3 linked regions of the Pelodiscus sinensis genome follow. The protein of the gene in region 1 purifies or fractionates together with the protein of each later gene. This does not show direct contact. Links are inferred from orthologs where the notes say so. Each region holds a gene or a part of one and is shown on either strand. Other genes may lie near its edges. The genes, in order: AKAP9, CDK5RAP2 and PRKAR2A.

Region 1 (7,184 bases):
CAGGGACCCCCAGGCAGGCTCTCCTGCTTGCCCCACAGGCCCATGCGCCTTGCAGAAACAAGGCTGCCGGATTTTGTCTCTGTTTTAAAACTAGAAGGGAAGAGGGAAGGTCCAGGAGCCACCTCGCTCCCAGCACAATCCCATTTGCTGGTTTCTGGCCAACAACCAACCAATGGGAGCTGCTTGTTGGAATAACAGGCAGCCAAGAAGAACCACACCCCCTCTCCGTTGCTCTGTTATTCATGAATCACATGGCCAGGGAAGCAGGCAGGCTGGTTGGGAAATGTTTTAAGCTCTGTAAGCAAGCAGGCTGGTTTGCGTGCTGGCTGGTAAGTCCTCTGGCCACAGCCTGCCTCTTGCACCCCTGTCCCTCCCTACTTCCCCACTCAACATACCCAAACCCTCTGTCCCCCTCTTGCACCTATACCTCCTCCCAGATCTGGCACCCCAATCTCCTGTCCCAGATCACAATCCCCTTCTAACCTAATAGAAATGTAGCCGTGTTAGTCTGGTCTAGCTGAAACAAAAACAGGACTATGTAGCACTTTAAAGTCTAACAAGATGGTTTATTAGGTGATGAGCTTTCGTGGGTCCATCTTGTTAGTCTTTAAATAAACCATCTTGTTAGTCTTTAAAGTGCTACGTAGTCCTGTTTTTTGTCCCTTCTGCCCTAGGTCACATCCCAAACCTCTGCACTCCAGTCCCCGCCCTAGGTCACAACCGCCTCCTTCACGCAAAGTCCCTCCCAAACTCCAGTCTCCCTCCTGCACCCAATTCCTTACCCCAAGCTCCCCTCTGCACCTAACCTCCATCCCACACCCCGCATCTCCTTCATTAATATCATGGAAGAGTGCATCCCTTGGCCACTTTCCAAAATCGTGGAGTGGCCCCCCGTCAAAAATTATTGCCCACTCCTACCTTATCAACTTGTATTTGTACATGTGTTTTCATAAAAGCTTGTTTACATTTCTGAATTGTAAATAAAATATATAATTTTAAAAGAATGTTCAGTACCCAGAATTGGCAGTAGGATAGAATTTATCACCAAACAGGATGTTTAAAAATATCTAATGTTGAAACTGCTCCTATTTTACTGCATGAGGAAGAACACTATTTTCTATATTTTAATTTAATTTATCAAAACACATATTCAGTACTTAAGGAATTATTTTTGCAGGAGAAATCATTCTATAATTTATTTTAGAATTGAAAATCACATTTACCAAACAAATCTTATTCCTAAAATATACATATTTTTCTGTAGAGGAAAAAAAAACATGGACAAGATGTCTCTCTCTCTCTCTCATACACATATGTGTCAAACTATTTCTATAAACAATGTCATTCAGAACGGCTTTTTTATTTAATCATATCCCAGACAATGTCTGATTTCTATATTATTTACAAGAATGTTATTGGCTTCAGTAGTTTTCTCAGAACATATCCTATAAAATCAAATAATGCAACTGATTTGCACAACTACATCTTCAAAAGCAACTGCTGTGTATTGTCTCTGTCTCTGAGTATCAATTATCACTTCAGGAAATTCTCTATTGTATGCAGTAGCATCTAATTAGAGTCTATTGCTTAAGAGTACAAAGAGAGGATGCAGAGTGTACTGATGTTCCTATCAACGAAAAAGATTTTATTGATTCTTAAATTGTAAGGGAACTATTTAAGAATACAGCACACATGAAACTCTTATATTGATTCAAAGTAATAGCTAAAACCTCTTTCAACAAGGCATTCCACTTATATCTTGCTGATCCCTTTTAAAAATATTAAATATTTCAGTTCTGCATGTTTAACTATGCTGTAAACAATCACTCCAGACACCTGTGCAATAAGGAGGAGTACTATGAACAATAAATCCATTTTTACTTCAATGCAGTTCCCACAGAAGTCAGTGAAACTTTGTTTGCATGGTTGATTAAAAAAAAATGTCTACTATTAGGGTACGTCTAGATTACATGCCTCTGCCGACAGAGGCATGTAAAATAGTCTACCCGATATAGTCAATTAAGTGGGGATTTAAATATCCCTGGGTTCATTAAAATAAAAATGGCCACCGTGTTGTGCTGGCTCAACTGATTGTCGATACAGCGTGCGAGTCAAGACGCGGATCGGTCGACAATGGGAAGCCTTTGTTGACTGCTCCTGTAAACCACGTTTCACGAGGCATATGGCAGCAGTCAACAAAGGCTTCCCTTGTCGACCGATCCGCGTCTTGTGCTGTGGCCAGAAGACTTACCAGGCAGCACGCAAACCAGCCTGCCTGCTTGCAGAGCTTAAAACATTTCCCAACCAGCCTGCCTGCTTGCTTGGCCATGTGCTTCATGAATAACAGAGCAGCGGAGAGGGGTCGTGGTTCTTCTTGGCTGCCCAATATTCCAACAAGCAGTTCCCATTGGTTGGTTTTTGGCCAGAAACCAGCCAATGGGATTGTGCTGGAAGTGGGGCACCTTCAGGGCCTCATGTTACCCAGTGTCCGGACGCTTGCTTGCTGCCCTGGCTGGCAGCTGCCCTGTTGCGCAGCACAGCCAACCACTGCATGCCACCTTAGGATCAGCAAATTCTTTGGCCGGGCCTGGGTAGAAAGGCTGGCATTGACCTCTCTCATCTGGTAAATTCCCTGGTTTGTGACCAGTCAGGTCCTGGAGGTGCAAGACCAGGAGGGTACAACCTGTATTAACTAATCACAGCATACTGCTTAATCTTGAGTGACCAGGTACTGATGTGCCCTAATGTTTCATTACCATAACCAATAAAATCATCTCTCTTTATTTATATATATATAATGTCCTATGGTACAACAACATGACATGATCATGTCAGCGTCAACAGGCTGGGGGCAGGGGGTAGGCAGAGCTGAAGCGGAAGGAGTCCTGTGGACAACATGGTCCACAGCGGCAGGATGTGGCAAGCTCCCCGCTCACCCTGCTGGTGGCTTCCTTGCTTCTACCCCTCCACCCAGCCCCCTCACTCACCAGCTCAGCCCCCTGCAAGACTGGAGCACCAGCACTGGCTTCCTGCAGCATGGGGGGGAGGGAAGACCAGAGTCTCCACGCAGGATCTAGCTTTCCAGATCTGCACACATGTGTTTCCCTTCCCCCTCCCTCAGCCAAAAGCAACCGGTCCCCCACCCCGTGGTCAGCACCACCCCATGCTGAGCCTGGTCTCCAAACCAAGAGCCAGCCCGGCTCACACAGGCTGCCTCCTTTCTGCCCCCAGGCCAGCTGAGGCTCACACAACTGGGAAGCCAACTGTGGCAGAGGGAGTCAGGGCTGCCTACTCCCAGAGAGAGGGGGTTGGTGAGCATAGGAGCCAACAGAACAGCCCCCTAGTGATTCTTTACCAAACAAAACCTATTAAAACGGCTGATGCATGAAATATACATGATATGAACAGCAGACATGGAGCCTACTCTTACAAATATAGGCATCACCTTTGCATGGTACATAATGCACAAATACCTTGCCGACTTGATTGTTAGGATTTCCGGGACAAACACCGCACATGGCATATAGAAGGCGGGCGGGGGGGATAGACAATTTGCAATGTAACATGTTCCCATCATTGAATCAACTTCAGGAATAGGTAACAAGGAAACGTTCCTCTTTTTAAAGGTAACATTTGGAAAAACAATATTGCAAAAATAAATACTGTAGCAGCATTCAGTTTGCAAACACTTAGTCCGAATAAAAAATGTACTTTACATTTTTAAAATGACAATAGGCATCCCCCAGCGCCAGTGTGTTGGGGGAAGGGCAGTGTGTCATAGGGAGCGGGTTCGCATTCCTCTCCCAGGCGAGTGAGTGGGGAGGGGAAGGTGTCCGTGTCTCTTAGAGGAGAGGGGGGAGATCGGCCCCCGTCAGTGGGCGCGAGGGTCGGGGTCCCGGCCTGTCAGTGCCTGGGGAGGGGGCAGGCGTCTCGGGGGTGGATGCCTGCAGATGGGGGGCGGGGCATGGGGGGTCCCTGGGAGGGCAGGAGTCTCGAAGGGGGCGGTCAGGAGCGTCACGCCCCCCTGTCCTGCCACGGCTCCCGTTATCAGGGCGGCCCGAAGGGGGGCGGGGCTCTCGGCCGCACCTGCCAGGAGCAGCGGGGCTGGGCGGGGAGGCGGCGGCGGCGACGCGGACGTCACTTTCCCCGGCCGCGCGTGGTTACGTGGAGCTGAAGATGGCGGCGCCGGTGGGTCCGCCACGGAGGCTCCTGGCGCTGTAGCGGGGCGGGCCGGTGACGCTCTGTTCTCTGCGCAGGGGCCATGGAGGACGAGGAGCGGCGGAAGAAACTGGAGGCCGGGAAAGCCAAGGTAGGCGCGGGGGCTGTGGCGGCCGGGGGAGGGAGAGGGGCGCGGTGGGGAGTAGGGGCGCTGAGGGGCGGGACGGAGCTGTGGGGGAGGGGAGGGGCCCCTGGGCGAAGCCAGTCTCCCAAGTAGCCTGGAGGGAGCACACCCCGAGGAGCAGGGGTGACTCTTTCACCAGTTTTATTCCCACCTGTATCTAGTGTGTTTCCCTGCTAACGAGCGCGCGGGCAGCCTGGGGGTATTTGCGGGGGCTGGGCTATGTTTGATAGCAGTGGGCTCCAGAGCAGGTTCTCTTTTACTCTCCCTGTGTGATTGGCTTGTGACAGCTGTGAGTGGACAGCGCATGTCTTGCAAGTGCCACAAGTGCCAGCAGTTACACATTGAAAGCCAATGGTATTTCTCCCGAGTGAAACTCTGTACGTGTGTTGGTGTCGTTTGTGAATCTGTATAGCTTCAGTGGTCGGGGTGAAATACTTCTTCAGTTCCCCAAAAAGGTATTTGGGGATGAGGGAAACGAAGTTTACAACATACAGTTAACCTGATGCACAATTTGCTACTTGGGATTTTAAAGCAATGTACAAATTCATGGAAATAACTTTTTTTCATTTTAAGAACATCATGTTGTGTCTAATACTAGAAAATAACATTACAATGCAGTGTGTCTAATGCTTATTTCCCAAATTGTTCCCATAATCAGATGGTGGTGTAGAATGTGCAGGACTCAGGGCAGAGCCTTGGGGATGTGGCGGGAGGTCGTGCAGGAAGGAGTGAGAGAAGGCAATGCAAGAGTGAGGGTTGGGGGTTCAAGAGAGGCTTAGGGCAGGATGGGGCCTCTTATCTTTCACCCTTTCATCACCTCTGGATGCCCATCCCCTTGCCGGGCGGGGGAAGTATCTTTTCTCTGCCTCTCCTTTCTTCTCCCTTTGATTGTTTCCTGTGGCTTTGTTTAGTTCTGTCCTTTCCTTGACTTCACTTGAAGGGTTAATGTAACCTACACCACCTTCTAGTCCTCTATGGGTGAAAACTAAAGGAGCCCTTCTGTAGGTGCTTACTTAAAGACTTGATATCTTACATCCCTTAAACATTCCTCTGAATTTTACATGCTGTAGCTATATAAATAGTTGTAAACTAAGTGCTGAGGTGTGTTAGAGGATTTTTAGTTGCTTTTCTTGTTACTTATGACTGTCTTCAGACATGAAGGTTGCAGTGTAATTGTATAGTAACCTTTTTGCTATATATTTGCTCATCAGCCTTCAGTACTGTAGGTGAATTACACTGTTTAAATGCTCTGAACACACAACTACTTTAAGTGATAAATGTCTAAAGTTTCATAGATGCTTCTGTGAGTGTGAAGTTCTGTAAAACTCTTTATCTTACAATAATGAAACTACCTCTCAGAACTGGCTTACACTGGGCATTTAGGTCGAATTTAGCTGCATAAGGCTGATTTTTTTTTAAACAGTGAGTTCATACTACCAAGCCCATTCCATCAACTTTAAGGGATGCTAAAGTCTATTTTGATACTCCTGCTTTTCATGAGGAATAACGCTAAATTCAACCTTGCACGATCAACTTTACGGTACAGTAGACACAGAGTTGCAAAAATCAATGTTCTTGGCTTCTGGTAGACATCCCACAGTGCCTCACTGTGACCACACTGGCCAGAACTTGTGGCTAGACTGCTTTCCAGGTGAACAGGAGAATCCCCAGGAAACTTTGAATTTATTTCCTGTGTGGACAGCATGGCGAGCACATCTCAGAGCAGGCAGTATACCTGGCCATGACTTCCATGAGTTCTAGTTCCAGGAGCTCCTATTCCCAGGGGCTCAGACGAGCACCAGCATGAAGTGTGAAGGAGATCTTGGACCTCATCAGCATGTAGGAAGAGGAATCTGTTCTCATGAAGCTGTAAACCAGTAAACGAAATGCAGATATATATGTGAGGATCACAAAGTCCAATGAGGAGAAAGTATACACCAGGGATGCCCAGCAGTGTCGTGTGAAAATAAAGGAGTTGAAGCAATCCTACCAAAAAGACAAAGGAGGCAAATGGATAGTCTGGAGCATTGCTGTAAACATGCCACTTCTACAAGCTGTTGCATTTGATCATAAGTCTAGCTTCCCAAGCCAGACTGTGGAATCCTCCCAAGACACTAATCAGGGTGGCATTGTGGAGGAGGAGGGTCAGCAGGCAAGTGGCAATAGCCAAGAACTTTTTATAACCTTGGAGACAATCCCTTCCTCTCATGGTGCCTCAGTTGGGTACTGATCCCAGGAAAGGCACTTCTGGTGAGTTCACAATTTTTTCCTTCCTACAAGTAGATTCATGCAGTTGAGTGTGATGTGTAGGCATAGAGTGCGCCACGCAATGCAAGAGCCTGGAACAGAGCCCGGAACAGCTTGTTAATGTGTCTTGGAGACAGCACAATGGAATCCTCCTTGCAAATCTCCATGAAACTCTCATAGAAGTACTCTTTGATCCTTCTCACAAGGTTTCTGGGGAGGCCTGCCTTATTCAATACTACACGGTGGGCACCTTTACACACCAAGCCAGCAGTAAATTGTCTGGCATTGCCAGCACAAAGAGTGGGGAAATATGTTACTGGAGGAGATGCGAGTGGAGTGTCAGGAAAGGAGAGCATGCAGGGAACTATAACTGAAGCACCAGAAGACTGCTTGTCCTCCCTGACATCTGTAATGGACTGCATCTAGGCTTTCCAAGATGCGTACATGGACAGGCTCTCCTGCCCCATCTCTTCAAGACCAACTTTCCCTCCTTTTCCCTCCCAGTTCTGAAGCCTGCTCCCCCAGGGGCTCTAGGACACGAAGAGGTGAGGGAAATTCAAGGGAAGCCTCACACTCAACCTCCAGGGCATCACAA
Region 2 (7,594 bases), on another chromosome or scaffold:
CTCTGAGAGGGAACCCCAGATATTTAACCCAGCCATAGCTGCAGCTGACACTACGTGGCAAAAGGGTTACATTAACATCTTTTTATTGAAATGCTTTCTTTTGTCTGCAGCAGTAGAGTATAAGAGCAATTGTAGGATCTGATCCTGCCAACACTTACTTACGTAAATTTATTAATTCAGATAATCCTGTTGAAGTGAGCAGGGTAAATTTACTCATATCAGTAAATGACTTCAGGATTAGGCCCCTTTCTTATGGCTCCCAATATGCAAATAATTACATGAGTGCTTAAAGTTACATATGTCAATAATTCTGCTGACTTCAGGTGGCACACTTATGTGAGAGAAGTTAAAAACATATATATGTATATGTTTGCAAGATCAGATGCCATTACAGGGAATACAGCTTTGAACTTGTTGGAAATCTCCAGCTACAGTAACAAAATATAAAAAACTACTAATGGATATGTTGCTTAGAATAGGCATTCTCAAACTTCATTGCACTGCAACCCCCTTGTGACAACAAAAATTATTGCACAACCCTAAAGGAGCGGGGAGTCTAAGCTTGCCCAAGCCCCACCACTGTGGGCTAGGTCAAAGTCCAAGCTGAAGCACATTGCCCTGGGCAGGGGTGGGAAGAGGGCAAAGCCATCGAGGGCTGAAGCCACTGAGCTTTGTCTTTGGCCCCCACTGATGAGAATTTGGCTTTGAACCTCAGCAACAGACTCACTTTGAAGTCCTGACCCATAGTTTGAAAACTGCTAGCTTAAAGACAGGACAAAGTAGAGAGAAAGGATGGTTTTGGAATTAGAATGGTAGTCAGGGACTTGGGAGATTTACACATTCAGGGTATGTCTACACTACATGGCTCCATCGACGGAGCCATGTAGATTTGTTTATTGGGCAAAGGGAAATGAAGTGGCGATTTAAATTTACCGCCGCGGTAAACCTCATCCCACAAGGAATAACGGAGTGGTCGACAAAGGGCTTTGATGTCGACCGCGGAGCATCCAGACTAGTGCGCTGAGCCGACAAACAGCTGATCAGCTGTTTGTCGGTTCAGCGTGGCAGCCATTTAAATTTAAATGAAGCGGCGATTATTTAAATTGCCGCTTCATTTCCCTTTGCCTACAACCCTAATTTACATGGCTCTGTCGATGGAGCCATGTAGTCTAGACACAGCCTCAGTTCCCAATTCTGCCTTTGGCTTCCTATATAACATTAAATATCTCTAATAATAGCACCTCCCTACCTCATAGGTGTTGTGAGGAAAATTATATTGATTATGGGGCACTCACATACTATGGTGATCTGGACCATATCACTGACTGTGGGAATGTGAGATCATTTCTGTTATTGTACAATTTGTGTGTACGTGCGTCAGTTTAATGTTCTAAAGCAGGGCTACTCAACACATGGCCTATGGCCCGTTTCTTTGTAGGCCGTGGTACAGTTTGGGTTTACGCGGGGCTCAATGCATGGCCCGCGGGTGGGATCCTTTGAACATGGCCTTCACTGGGAATACGCTCTTCAATGGCGAGGCATCTCCCAGGTGGGTGAGCAATGAAAGATGCAAGTGGATGGGCTGGCTGCAACAGGTGGGTTCAGAGTGTCGGCATTTCTAGCTCCCAGAGAGGAGGTGCCAGGAGTGCCAGGGCATTGTGTGAAATAAGCTATTTGCATATATATTTGCATGTATATGCAACCACACTTAAGTTGTGGCCCTCGGCATGTGCTGTTCTAAAGCAAAGTCAGCATGCTGCTGTGCTCACCAAAGGAATAAATTGATTGTATTTGCACAGGGAGATGCGACACCTCCTAAATTGGAAATATTAAATATAGTTAGAAAAAAACAATTTTGAGACAATAGCTTATATAAGCCAATATAAATCTGCTTCTATGATTAAATGTAAAAATAATGTTGAAATACAGAATTCCATGTGGATGATCACTTTCATTTTTTTTTTTTTTTAAAAGATAAAATAATACAGTTGAAGAAATACATCACATTTCTGGAGCAGATCATATTGAAAATTGGCTCTTCTGCCTTTCAATTGTATTCCGGTAGCTATCGAGGTACAAGAAAGTAGCAATAATAGAAATCACATACACACAATGAGAAAAGGGAACACTACTACTGCTACAAAACACAGGCTCATGATGCAATGCATAGTTAAGTAAATCATTTTGGCAAAACACCAGTTCTTCTGAAGTATTTTCTGACTATCTTTCATCTCTTTACTGGGCAAGAAAAACAATTTTAGAAAAGTTATTTTACAGTATTTTCAGGTTGAATTATTATGAAAGATAGGATTCTTGCTGTTTGGATCCATGTAGCTATGAAAGTAACAAAGAGCATTGAAACTATTGCTATAATTCCTTCATGGGATTGTCGTAACTATACACGGTCACATGATTTTTTGCCATACTGATAGTTAGTCTACCATCCCATGTATGGATATAGAGAGTCTTTTAGCTGGAACTATAGCACTGTGCTTTATACTTGCTTATTAAGTATGTTACACAAAGTATCTGTCTATCCATCACACAAGAACCATAAGAATGATTAAAGGATTAGAAACCACCTTATAGTGATAGGCTCAAGGAGCTTAATCTACAGAGTTTAACAAAGAAAAAGCTAAGGCCTAGCTTGATCAGTTTATATAAATACTTACATGGCGAACAAAATTTTCATAACATGTTCTTCAACCTAGCAGACAAATGTATATCATGATACAGTGCCTGAAAACATGTTTTACCTGGATTGTCTGCTAGGTAATTGACCGGAATAATTTACCTGGGAGTGTGGTGGATTCTCCATCACTGGCTCTGTGATGGATAAGAGGAGTGCTGGCTAGCACCCGGTGACTAAAGGGTTAAACTCAGGTAGCTAGCAAGGGTGTTGGCAGGGAGTGAGAAGAACCAATGGGCATACAGTAATGAAATCTGAATTGTATACGATAACTTGCCTGCTTTCTTTGTGTGGGAGAGTTAAACCAGGATTAGAGAGACACAGAATGATTTAAATCCAGGGAGGACTACCATGCCTCCAAGGAATTTGGGGCATGGAAGTGGACTGAACCAAGAGAGATCATGAGAAAAAGTGAATCTAGTTATGATCAGGGTATTTTTCTTTATTTTGTGGTTTGGTTTGAACTACTCTGTTTGAATCTATGCCTCCCCTTCCCCATTTACCATCTAAGAATTGTTCCCAGAGATTTTCCATTTTGTTTTCCTTGGTTGCACTGTAACATCTAGCAACCAAGTGTGCGTTAGCCTTTGTTGTGCTAATAAAAATCACTTTTTTAAGGTGATGATTTGATTCTTTTGTCCTGGAAAGTAACAAGGGGCTGTGTGTGTGTATTTGCTTGCCTGAGACTGGGTGGTCAGCTACCAGAGACTGCAGCTTGTTTTTCTCTTTTCTTTTTTCAAGCTCTTTTGGGGTGAAAGAGCTTGGGATGCCCCATGTGGGAGAATTCAAGTGTTCCCCCCTGGTTTTAGGGATAAGTCACTTGATGGTGGGAGCTACCTCCCAAACTCAGTGAATCTGTGACTCTGGGGGAGTTTTTGTAACCAGAGCCTGCAGAGGCAAGGTATATTTAAAGTCTTCGCTGGCCCCCACCTTCTGCACTCAGAGTGCCAGAATGGGGAACTGTCCTGACAGGCTCTTTAAAAACAACATTAAATTAGTGCAAATCTTTTAGAAAAACAACCAAAGAGGATCTAATTGAGGGAAGTCCTATGTGTTATATGAGAGATTAGTCTGCACCACACTGGTCCATTTAGAGCTGATAAACGTATGTATCTATAGCAGGCCCGGCCTGTGGAGCGTGGGCCTGCCCCCGGGGTGCTCGGCGCATGCGCAGGCCAGTCATGGCCGCTGGCGCGCAACCTGGGGCCTGCCCCTGGGGCGTACAGCGCATGCGCTGCCCAGCCTGGCTGGACCACACGATTAGTCGATAAGAGGAGGCTCGCTCTAGGACTGCTGCACCTCTGCATTTTAAATGTGCTGAGCGCCCCACTTACACTGCAGAGTCGCAATGCTCCCAGACCGGTGCGAGCCGGGACTGCTTGATCCGAGTTCAGCAGCCCCTGTTCACAGTGGCCAGGGCTGGCTGCGGCAAGCCACCCCGCGGACCGGGGCTGCTACCAGAGCAGCCTCTCCTACCTTTCCCCAGCTGGCTCTGAGAGGCAGCAGTGGGGCGGCAGGAGGCACTGCAGACAGGGTGCTGCGGGGAACCGTTGTTTAAGTCTGCTCTCCCCAGCACCAGCCCCTGTTCCCTCCCTTGACGGAGGCAGCAGGGAAGAAGCACTCGTGGGCTGCTGCTCTCACCCCGGAACTGACCGCATCATACTGAGACTAGAGGACTCAGAGCGTGTGTCACACTGCGGGATGCTAACCAGTATCCCTCGCAGCGCAACTGCCCTGACTAAAGATGGCGCCTGGTCACACCCTCCTTCGCTCTTGTATTAAATATGGCGGCTGCGCACGCTGCCCGTTTTCATGCCCTCACTCAAGATGGCTACTGCCCACATTCGCTACCTTCTTTGTTCTTAGAGGTGAAAGCTGCTGGCCTTGGTTGCCGCAAAAGTTTGCCCTTAGTCAAGCTGGCGTATGCAGCATTTGCCCTCAGCAAAGATGGCGGCGCCCCATTAGCTTTCTATCGTGCCCTCAGCACGTACCATTGCAGAGCGGCCTAAGTGGCTTCACAGTCGGATATACAAGATGGCGGAAGCGGTTGCGGCCGTTTGAATTCCAACGAAGCCGCCAAACTCGGACAATAACAACCAGAGCCGCCACCGCCGCCGGAGGGTCCCTGCGGGGGTCGCACCGCCATGGACTCGCTGCCGGGGGAGGACCTCACCCTGCCCGTGGAGTTTAGCGGCAGGTAGGAGCGGGGTGGGACGGGGCAGGCAGCCGGGACCGTTAGGGCGTCCGGCGTGGGCGAGGCTGTTTGAGATCCCCCCCCCACTGGGGTCTGGCCTGCGGAGCGGAGTGGCGCTCGGCATCACCCCCACGCGTTCCTCCAAGCCAGACCGACTGTGCATGTGTGGAAATCCGAGTACCCCTTTCCCCCCGGCGAGACCGGGGGCGCTCGGGATTCCCCCTCCCCACACACTCGGGTCTGGTCACCTCTTGCTGGAGCTGTCTGCTGGTGATTGAAGCCCCCAGAGTTTGGCTGTGGCTTGGGCCTCACACACAGGGGCAGGAGTACTGCAGCTTGGGGTTCATACCCCCACCTCCCATGTGGCTGTTTGGCTCTTAGTATCTTTTCTAATATTGGGGAAGGGGTGCGAAGCTGTTACCTGGATCCCTTCCCTCCCTTTCGGTAGCTTCAGGGGTTAGCGGAGTTAGTCTGTACAGGATAAATTTAAAAAACAACAAATGGTCTGGTAGCACTTTATAGATTAACAAAACACGTTTTGGTGTTTGCCGTGTATTGTGTGTTGGGGAGAGACACTGGAAGTACTCAGGAAGGAGGGACTTTTTGTGGGGCTTCTAAACTTTCCATCACTGAAATGCCTCCTGTGTCTCACTCTTAGCGTCAGTATTTCCAGACTGCCAGATGTCTCCAGAGAAGAACCTTGTATTGGCGTAGGAGGTAATGGAGGTAAGGGCAGCTAATGTGATGGCACACAAGAAGTGGTCAAATGAACGCTTGAAATGTTCATTTCAGGAGAGTGCAAAGTTAGAAGATAAACATCTTATTTGCAAGAGCTTGTCTAGAGAACAGCCAAACTTGTTCTTACAGCACTGTAGTCTAATAAACACATTTCTGTAATGTTCCTGTGTTAAAAACTTATTGTTTCAAACGATTAACCCACAGTATTTGCTAGGCAAATATTGCAGCACTGGGAATCTGAAAGTGAAAATAACTACATAGTGAAACTGAATAAATTACCCAGCTGGTAGAAGTGTCAAAAGTTAATAAAGATCATAAATAGCGAAAAGTAAGTTCAGTTCATAAGAATGGCCTTACTGGGTGAGACCAAAGGTCCATCCAGCCCAGTACCCTGTCTGCTGACAGTGGCCAATGCCAGGTGCTCCAGAGGGAGTGAACTGAACAGGTAATGCTCAAGCAATCTCTCTCTTGACATCCATCTCCACCCTCTGACAAACAGAGGCTAGGGACACCATTCCTTACCCATCCCGGCTAATAGCCATTAATGGACTTAACCTCCATGAATTTATCTAGTTCTCTTTTAAACCCTGTTATAATCCTAGCCTTCACACTTAACAGTTCACTTTTAATAGATGTTAGTAACAGGCAAATAAACTTCTTTATTTGCAACATATAATTTTTATAAGTATAATGTCCCTTTAAGAAAACCAACAAACCGTATAAACTGAAGCTAGTGGTACAGGTTGAACCGCTTTAGTCCAGCATCCTAGAGCTTTGACCTGTTCCGAAGCAGAGAATTTGCCGAACCATGGGTGTTGAGTATTGTCTAGGGCAGGGGTGGCCAACCACTTAGAGACAAAGAGCCAAAATAGCGGTGAATAGAATACAAAGAGCCACGTATTGTATATTTATTTTTATATATTTATATAGAGAAAGATCGATATAGTACACAACATGTAGTAATAAAAACAACATTACAAGACATTTCAGACAAAAACCAATACAAAAGTCTCTAGTAATTTAAATTCATAGATCTTCAGAGGACTTGACAAGGAAAACACATCAAATAAAAAAAAACCTTTAAAAATACAGTAAATTCTCTCTCACAAAAAAGCATTCCCACTATGTATTTGAAATTTAACACTACTGCCGTATTATGTCCTGTGATTTTTTTTTTTTAAATCAAACTGCACTGAGAAGTAATTTAGCACAATTTGAAGTGCCTGTCCCAGACTGCAAATATGAGAGGTTCAAAAACATCTCAGAATAATTGCTTCAGCCTGGCAAACAATAGCCTTTGAATATTCTTTAAAGAAACATTGTAAATCAGGTACATGCTGATTCTTTTTTTGCCCTAGAATTTAAATAGGACATCTGTGTTGGCTGCCTTATTCTGCATCCACGGAGACTTTGAGCTTAAGGTGCTTCGTGCCCCCCCCCCCCCACAATGCCCCTCCCTCCCCAGGGCCAGGCATTCCCAGTTCCCCCTTCCCTCCCCTGCTCTAACCCAATGCTCCCCAGAGCCAGGCATTCCCATCCCCCAGCTCTAACCCAATGCCTTCCTTCTCCTCCAGAGCCAGCCCCCTCCCCGCTCTAAACCAATCCTCCTCCCCTCTCCTAGAGCCAAGCACCGCCCCCCCAGCTCTAACCCAATCCCTCTCCTTTCCCCCAGAGCCAGGCACCTCCCCCCCCCCCCACTGTAACCCAATCCCCCTGACCCAGAGCCAGGCACCTCTTTCTCCCCCCCCCCCCCCCCCGGCTCTAACCTAATGCCTAGGTCCTGGATCCGCCGCCACGCACTTCTCCCTCCAGGCGCTGGGACTCTGTGTGCTGAGTGGCTGCCCGTGAGCAAGCCCTGGGACGCCATGCGCAGAGCTGCCGGCCTGAATAGTCAGGGCGCGTGGCTCAGAAGCAGCAGGAGCCACATCTTTTTTAAATGAAAGAGACCACCCCGGGTCTAGGAGCATTACCAC
Region 3 (8,029 bases), on another chromosome or scaffold:
CATGTAAATTAGACTACTTGACATAGTCAATGAAGCGGGGATTTAAATACCCCCCGCTTCATTAAAATAAAAATGGCCACTGTGCTGTGCCAGCTCAGCTGATCGTCGGCACAGCACAGCAGTCAAGACGCGGATAGGCTGACAGGGAACGCTTTTGTCGACTGTTCCTGTAAACCTCATTTCACGAGGCATAAGGAAGCGGTCGACAAAGGCGTTCCCTGTTGACCGATCTGTGTCTTGACTGCCGTGCTGTGCCGACAATCAGCTGAGCCAGCACAATGCGGCGGCCATTTTTATTTTAATGAAGCGGGGGATATTTAAATCCCCGCTTCATTGACTATGTCAAGTAGTTTAATTTACATGCCTCTGTCGGCAGAGATATATAGTCTAGATATACCCTTAGTTTGGTGAGGTCTTTTTGAAGCTCTTCACAGTCTGCTTTGGTCTTAACTATCTTGAGCAGTTTGTTATCATCTGCAAATTTTGCCCCCTCACTGTTTACCCCTTTCTCTAGATAATTTATAAATAAGTTGAATAGGTTTGGTCCCAGGACAGACCCTTGGAGGACCCCACTAGTTACATCTCTCCACTTGGAAATCTTACCATTTATTCCTACCCTTTGTTTCCTGTCTTTTAACCAGTTATCCATCCATGAAAGGACCTTCCCCCTTATTCCATGATAACTTACTTGACTTAAGAGCCCTTGGTGAGGGACCTTGTCAAAGGCTTTCTGGAAATCTAAGTCTACTATATCCACTGGATCCCCCTTGTCCACATGTTTGTTGACCCCCTCAGAGAACTCTAGCAGATCAGAAAGGCATGATTTCCTGTTACAGAAATCATGTTGACTTTCCCTCAACAAATTATTAATCTATGTGTCTGACAATTTTATTCTTTACTATAGTTCCAACTAATTTGTGTGGTACTGACGTTAGACTTACCAGTCTGTAATTGCCAGGACTCCTCTAGAGCCCTTTTTACATATTAACTTTACATTAGCTATCTTCCAGTCATTAGGTACAGAAGCTGATTTAAAGGATAGGTTACAAACTACAGTTAATAGTTCTGCAATTTCACATTTGAGTTCTTTCAGAACTCTTGGGTGCATGTCATCTAGTCTCAGTAACTTGTTACTGTTACGTTTATCAATTCGTTCCAAAACCTCCTCTAATGACACCTCAATCCAGGACAATTCCTCAGATTTGTCATCTAAAAACAATGTCTCACAACCAAATCCTTTCTTTGCTTTAAGTTATAATAAGAGGAAGCTGCATACTAAATTTCATGGTCCTAGCTCTTACCGTTTAGGAGGAGTTCTTGAACAAATGGATGGATGGACAAACTCTCTCATACATACATGCATGAATGTATATAGTAGATGAAATAAACTATACATCATCAGGGTAAATGCCAAAAGGACATAGTCTTCTTGCAGAATGAGCATCACCATCTCAATCTCTAGCTCAGGGCTAAACAAGATGAGGCCTGGGGACCAGATCTGGCCCGTGGACCATATCTAACTGATTTTTATTTATATACTGCTTCTTGTGACACCAAATTTCCAGGTGGTGGCTCAGGCAGCTGGATCCAGAGCTGCAAGTCTTTTTATAGCTGCAGGAACCCCAGGCAGCTGCCAGGCAATGTGGTAGCAGTCGGGCCAAGAGCCACAAGCCCCTTAAAGGGCTATTTAAAGGGCTCGCAGCCCCTTTGCCTGGGAGCCGCCTAGGTTGCTGCTGCTATTTCAAGGACTCCCCATCATGGCACTACCCTGGCAGGGCTGGAGCCTCAAGCCCTTTAAATAGTGGCAGCAATGCAGGTACCTGCTGGGTAGCGTGGTAGTGTTGGGGTCGGGAGATGCGAGCCTTTTGTTCTGTTTTTACTTCAAAGCCTGCAGCCCCAGACAACTGCTAGTCCCCAGTCCCCACCCTCCCAATCGGTCTCTGTCCCATTTGGGGAGGGGAGAATGGGGTGAGCCAGCCTGTGACTAGTACCAAAATTAAGTAAGTGGCTCCCCTGTGAAAATTATTGCCCACCCCTGCTCTAGTTAGATCCTTAAAACAGTCTGTCTGAATGTTTAATCTTATTGTGCCACTAAAGCTTTTGATCCTCACCTTGACACTGATCAGATAGTAGCACTGCCTGGCAAACACACTGTTACAGTTCAGTATAATTGCACCTATAGTTCCTGTCAGTAGTCCAGCAAGGTCATACTTCTCAGGCTGCCAACTCCCCAGCCACTGCCTTACTTGGATGGAGACCTGATCTTATTCCCTCCTGACCAGTGTATTTCCAAGGTGCACAGTTCTCTGCTTTCACAGTCTTATTCCCAACAGAGGCAGACTAACCAAGCACAGAAGCTTACATTCCCTTCAGGCTGATAACAGGTCAATTATCTGCAGTTATGTTAGCACACAGTTATTTCTATGCAAACCTATTTTATTCTTAAGGTTAAAGCACTACAGAGAAAGCATTAAAATCAGTAAAACACACTACATGCATGCTAATAAGCCTAGTAGAGATCTCACTAACACAGAGGTGTGCAAAAATATTTGATGGGGGGGCACTCCAAGAATTTGGAAGGTGGTCGAGGGCTGCACTCTTCCATTATATTAATGGAGAAAGTGTGGGTTCTGGGATGGAGTTTGCATGCAGAAAGGAGCTTGGGGTAAGGGATTGGGGTGCAGGAAGGCTTGGGGTCTGGGAGAGAATTTGGGTGAAGGAGGCGGTTGTGACCTGGGACACTGGACTGGGGTGCAAGGGTTGAGTTGTGACCTAGAGCAGGAAACTGGGGTGCAGGGCTTTGGGATGTGACTGAGGGCAGGAAGGGATTGTGACCTAGGAGAGAGGATTGGGGTACAGGAAGGAGTGCAGGGATTTGGGTTGTGACCTAGGATAAGGGATTGGGGTGCAGAAGGGAGTCTGAGTTGTGACCTAGGGCATGAGGGAACTGTGATCTGGAGTGCCAGATGTGGTAGGGGATATTGGTGCATGAAGGGGACAGAGGGTTTGGGTATGTAGAATATGGGGGCCAAGGGTTGGGGAAAAGAGGGTCTAAGGTGCCAGAGACAGGCTTTGGCCTGGAGACTTACCTGGGTGACTCCCAGCCAGCAGCCCAGCACATTTCTGAAGTACCCTCCTTGCCTGCCCCACCCCTGCACATGCTGCAGGGCCATGTACATGTGTGAATAAAACAAGCCGGAGAGGCCTGGGCATGGTGCTTTATGGCTGCCTGTTATTCAGACACTCAGCTCCCATTGGCTGGTTTCTGGCCAGAAACCGGCCAATGGGATTGAGCTGAGGGCAGGGTCAGTACATCAAGCCTTTCCACCACCACTGGGCTCAGTTTTGAAAGAGAAACAGCCCAGTAGCCATTTTCTGAGTGGCCTGGGGGGGGGGAAAGGCCAGCAAGGAGCCTGCCTGTGGCTCCTAGCTGCATCCACAGGCCGTATTTTGCCCAGGCTTGCCCTAACATGAGCTCTGGCTGGAGCACTTCTTCCAAACCCCACCCAAAGGCTGTGTCTACACTGGCTCGATCTTGTGCAAAAGCAGCCGCTCTTGCGCAAAAACTTGCTGCCTGGCTACACTGGCCGTGTGTTCTTGCGCAAGTAAACTGATGTTTTAATGTATGAACTCAGGGCTTCTTGCGCAAGAACTCTGATGCTCCCGCTCAGGAATAAGCCCTTTTGTGCTCATAATGTTTAGTCCACCCTTTTTACAGTTCATGAATCTTGGATCTGGAGTTTCCAGGAACAGGTAATTTAGGATGACCACATGTCATCCTGTTTTGTCTGGGGTAGGAATATTAAATTTAGATTGGGATTTCTATCAACAATTCAGTTAGTCTATAAGGGCACCTCCACCTTTGAAATGTACAAGAGCCCTGGTGCTCTTGTACATTTCAAAAGGAAACCCCCACAGGGAGAATGCGGAGATGAGGGCAGCGGGGCAGTTCCCTGCTGGCCTTGCTCACCCTGTGGGGCTTCTGCTATTGGAATATACAAGAGCCCCGCTGGGGTTATTGTACATTTCAAAACTAGAATCACAGCAAGTGATGTGAGCGGAGACTGCTTCAGTCCCCGCTTGCACCATTTCCCCCTGCGCCTATACCTCCCCTCCCCCTGCAGAGACAATGCTGGGGGAAACTGGCTTTTAAAAGAGAAAAGGTCTCAGCCTCTCTCCTGATGCAAAAAAGAGGGTGTAAGGGAGGGATCAGGCTTGGGCCCCTCTCCCGAGGCAGCTGGGAGGGGGGAGGAGGGAGCCCGAGGCAGCGGGGGGGGGGGAGGAGGGAGCCCGAGGCAGCCGGGGGGGGGGGAGGAGGGAGCCCGAGGCAGCCGGGGGGGGGGAGGAGGGAGCCCGAGGCAGCCGGGGGGGGGGGAGGAGGGAGCCCGAGGCAGCCGGGGGGGGGAGGAGGGAGCCCGAGGCAGCGGGGGGGAGGGGGGAGCCCGAGGCAGCCGGGGGGGGGGGAGCCCGAGGCAGCGGGGGGGAGGGGGGAGCCCGAGGCAGCCGGGGGGGGGGAGCCCGAGGCAGCGGGGGGGAGGAGGGAGCCCGAGGCAGCCGAGGGGGGGGAGGAGGGAGCCCGAGGCAGCCGGGGGGGGGGGAGGAGGGAGCCCGAGGCAGCCGGGCGGTCAGGCCCAGGCCGTGAGGAGAACAGGGCTGTGAAGAGGGTAGCGGCTGAGGCGAGGGGCTCGCCGGCTCTGAGGTGGCCGGGGGGGGGGGGGGGGGCGCTCCCGAGCTAACCACAGAACCTCAACATCTCTCACACATCAACTTCCCGCGTTCCAAGACTGCGCATGCGTAATGCTGATTTGCTGCGCCCCCCCATTGAACACCCAGAGTACGCATGTGCAGAATTCCCTCCTTTTCTCCCGCAAGGAGGTTTAGCGCGTCTCTGAGCCGAGGACGCGCCTTCTGCGCGTGTCCCTACTGTGACGTACGCTCACCCTCTCCCCTATCGTCGGCGGCGCGGCTCCCCCGCGGCGCATGCGCAGCTCTGCTCCTCCGTCGGGCTCCGCCCCGCGCCGCCAACCAGAGCATGCGCAGTCGCGTGGCTCCCGTTCTCTCTCTCTCCGGAGAGGCTTGTGTGACAGCGGCGGCGGGAGCCCGCGAGCGCCCTGAGGAGGGAGGCCCCTGAGCCCGCGGGAGCCGGAGCCAGCCGGGGGAGGCGGCCCCGCGGAGGGAGTCCCCGGCACCATGAGCATCGAGATCCCGGCGGGCCTGACCGAGCTGCTGCAGGGCTACACGGTGGAGGTGCTGCGGCACCGGCCGCCCGACCTGCTGGGCTTCGCCGCCGACTACTTCACCCGCCTGCGGGATGCCCGCGACCAGGAGGCCGCCGCCGGCCCCCGCAAGGGGGTCAACTTCGACGGGGAGCCCATGCAGACCGAGTCCAACGGCGAGGAGGAGCCCGGGCGCGGCTCCGACGACTCCGACTCCGACTTCGAGCGTAAGGGCCGGGCCGGGCCGGGCCCCCGCGGGGGGCGGCTCCGTTCCCGCGGGAGGGGCCGCGCGGGCTGTCCGAAGGTCATTCTCCCTCAGCCGCCTTCGCAGCCCGCGCGCCTCGCTCGCGCCTCCTTCGCGCGCGCCGCCCCTCTGCCCCTGAGCAGCCCTGCCCTCCCTCGGGTGCCGGGGCAGGGGGCCCTCGGGCGGCGGTAACCCGCACGCTATGTCCCGTGCTAGAAGGGCGCAGTCCCCATGAGCTTGACAGACACGGCGCGTGCGAGTAACGCTCAGCTGCCTTCTCTGGGCTCTTCTCTCGGTCTCTCTTTGCCTTTTGTTGTCCAGAACCCAAATGTCCAACTTCTTAACAGCATGAAGTGTCCTGGCCCATCGCAAGTAGCTGTGCAGTTGAAAAGGGAGTTTGGGGTACAAAGTTAGGCCTTTATCCCACTGAGAGAGAGCCTTCTTCTGGAGGAAATCATCAGATGTATGCAGCTACCCTGTAACTGCCAAAAGGGTATTGTAGTGTCTGACTTGAACCGTTAAGGATTGAAATGTCCGTATTTCTAAGTTATGTGATATGTAAAAGTACATGCTTTTGTTCAGCCTTTACGATATATACCACAACATGGTTATTTAAGGTTAGAGTTGCAACTTTAACTGTTTTTCCTTGGCTTTCAGTATGAGTTTGAAATATCAGAGGGGTAGTTGTGCTAGCCTGTATCTGCAAAAAGTAGGAGGCCTGTGGCATCTTAAAGACGAACAGATTTGTTTGGGCATAAGCTTTCACGGGCAAAAAAACCCACTTGCAAACAAATCTGTTCCTCTTTAAGATGCTACTGGGCTCCTCATTTTTACAATATGAGCTTTGTGCTTGATGGGTTTTTTGGTGTTCATTTAAAATTACACACTATTATAAAAATTGAAATCTGTTGCTAACTTTATTACCCCGTTTATTAAAAGTAGAAAATTTCAAATGTCTAATACCCTTTTTTCCATTTACATTTGTGTGCGTGTATGGTGGGAGGTTGGATGGGTAGTGCTGGGTGCTGAGTTGAGCGTACATAATGGAATGATGATGTGTATGTGTTGTAATAGTGTGTGGGCAATTGAGTTTGTTAAATAATCATAATTCGTTTAGGGTATCTGATGCTTTTTCTCCCTTTCTGCATCTGGTGGTGGTGGGAAGGCTTGTGTGCTTTTATTGGTTCCTGCCCTGAGCTGCTCTAGGGCAAAAGTGAACATTTTTTTAAGGGTTTACCCCCGACAGAATCTGCTGCTCTGTTCTACTTAGCAATAGAAATCACAGTAGTTATGTAAAAGACCTAAAGTAGGTACATTTTTTCTAGGGATGTTTGTTTATTTTTGTAAAAGTGTAACTGCTGACACAGTGGCGGGGGGGACGGGGACAGGCAGCTCTGGCTTAACGCATGTATGGGATCCTGCCTCCCTGACACTTCCATGTATCAGAGGCAGCAGTGCAGGAGGAGGGACAGATGGCTCCATGGGAGAAGGCTTAAAAGCTGACTCCCCACATGTACCAGCTGCCCCCTCCCCCCTGCATTGCTGCCTCTGATATAGAGGCAGCGGCATGAGGGGAGGGGACGTTGTCTCCACAGCAGTTGATATGCGCAGGGAGCTGGCTTGAAAGCCAGTACCCTATGTGTGCTGATTCATGCCTGCCCCCTCCTCCTCTGTTGCGTGGGAGGCAGGAATGGGGGCAGGTGGCTCTGCAGGAGCCAGCATGTGGATGGAATTGGCTTAAAAGCTGGCTCCCCATGAGCACTGGGTCCCACTCCTTCCTCTCCCCCCCGCTGCCTCTGATAGAAAGGCAGCAAGGGGGGGGAGTGTGTGTAACCAGAAGGATTAACTGATGAGCCCAGACTTATCAGTTAATCATGTAAATAGATACATGCTAACATCTCTAATTTTTACCTGCTCTTCCAAAGTATACTCTGTAAAGTGTTATCACATAATACAGGATGCATCCAATCTATCTGTGAAGGATAAATTGAAGCCTTTATAGTTATTTTAATTGTCAGTAATAATACTTGTTACTTTACAAACATTAGACTAATAGAATAATAGACATAGACTAGTTAATACTGTTTACATTTAAAATCTGTTGCCTTATATTTTCCTACTAGAAGTCCTATCTGGTATGGCTTTCTCTCTTTCTCCCCCCCCCCCCACCCCCCACCTTAGCTGGAGAGACCATTTCTCCCCTTCCCAGCTTCCATGACTGCCAAGGGTGTTCTGTCTCCTCTTGCACCCTTCCCTGCCCCATTGCTGTGGTGGGGGAGGATTAGGGGAAAGGGGGCTATATACTTAGTTTGGTGGCAGGCCACATAGTGGAGCCCAGTCTCTGTGTGGGTCATTTGGTGGTGTGACTGCTTCCAGTGGTGTCTCTGCAGTATGGTTTTCCCTTGCAGGCTGCCTTCAGTGGCCACTCTCAATATCATGTCCCTCCTCTCTGTGCCCTCTCTTTTCATGTTTTGGAAAACAATCCCATTCCTAGCACTTCCCATTTTCTTGGCACAACCAAACCCTGACCTTGCTTGAAGTTAGAATAAGATGAAGCTGCATACCAAAT

What was found.
Region 2: the proteins of AKAP9 (region 1) and CDK5RAP2 purify together in Homo sapiens (affinity purification with western blotting; 4 studies listed by BioGRID and IntAct, with this or other methods). This does not show direct contact. The link is inferred for Pelodiscus sinensis from reciprocal best matches to the Homo sapiens genes AKAP9 and CDK5RAP2.
Region 3: the proteins of AKAP9 (region 1) and PRKAR2A purify together in Homo sapiens (affinity purification with western blotting; 3 studies listed by BioGRID, with this or other methods). This does not show direct contact. The link is inferred for Pelodiscus sinensis from reciprocal best matches to the Homo sapiens genes AKAP9 and PRKAR2A.

What each region holds. Positions count from the first base shown.
Region 1 is NC_134712.1:214,228,693-214,235,876, reverse strand, and holds the start of AKAP9 (A-kinase anchor protein 9), read left to right. Parts: upstream 1-4,085; 5' UTR 4,086-4,261; coding exon 4,262-4,309; intron 4,310-4,352; exon of another isoform or gene 4,353-7,184. UniProt on the Homo sapiens protein: Scaffolding protein that assembles several protein kinases and phosphatases on the centrosome and Golgi apparatus. Required to maintain the integrity of the Golgi apparatus. Required for microtubule nucleation at the cis-side of the Golgi apparatus.
Region 2 is NC_134732.1:9,786,630-9,794,223, reverse strand, and holds the start of CDK5RAP2 (CDK5 regulatory subunit-associated protein 2), read left to right. Parts: upstream 1-4,507; 5' UTR 4,508-4,833; coding exon 4,834-4,886; intron 4,887-5,541; coding exon 5,542-5,609; intron 5,610-7,594. UniProt on the Homo sapiens protein: Potential regulator of CDK5 activity via its interaction with CDK5R1. Negative regulator of centriole disengagement (licensing) which maintains centriole engagement and cohesion. Involved in regulation of mitotic spindle orientation.
Region 3 is NC_134721.1:250,171-258,199, forward strand, and holds the start of PRKAR2A (cAMP-dependent protein kinase type II-alpha regulatory subunit), read left to right. Parts: upstream 1-5,029; 5' UTR 5,030-5,190; coding exon 5,191-5,443; intron 5,444-8,029. UniProt on the Homo sapiens protein: Regulatory subunit of the cAMP-dependent protein kinases involved in cAMP signaling in cells. Type II regulatory chains mediate membrane association by binding to anchoring proteins, including the MAP2 kinase.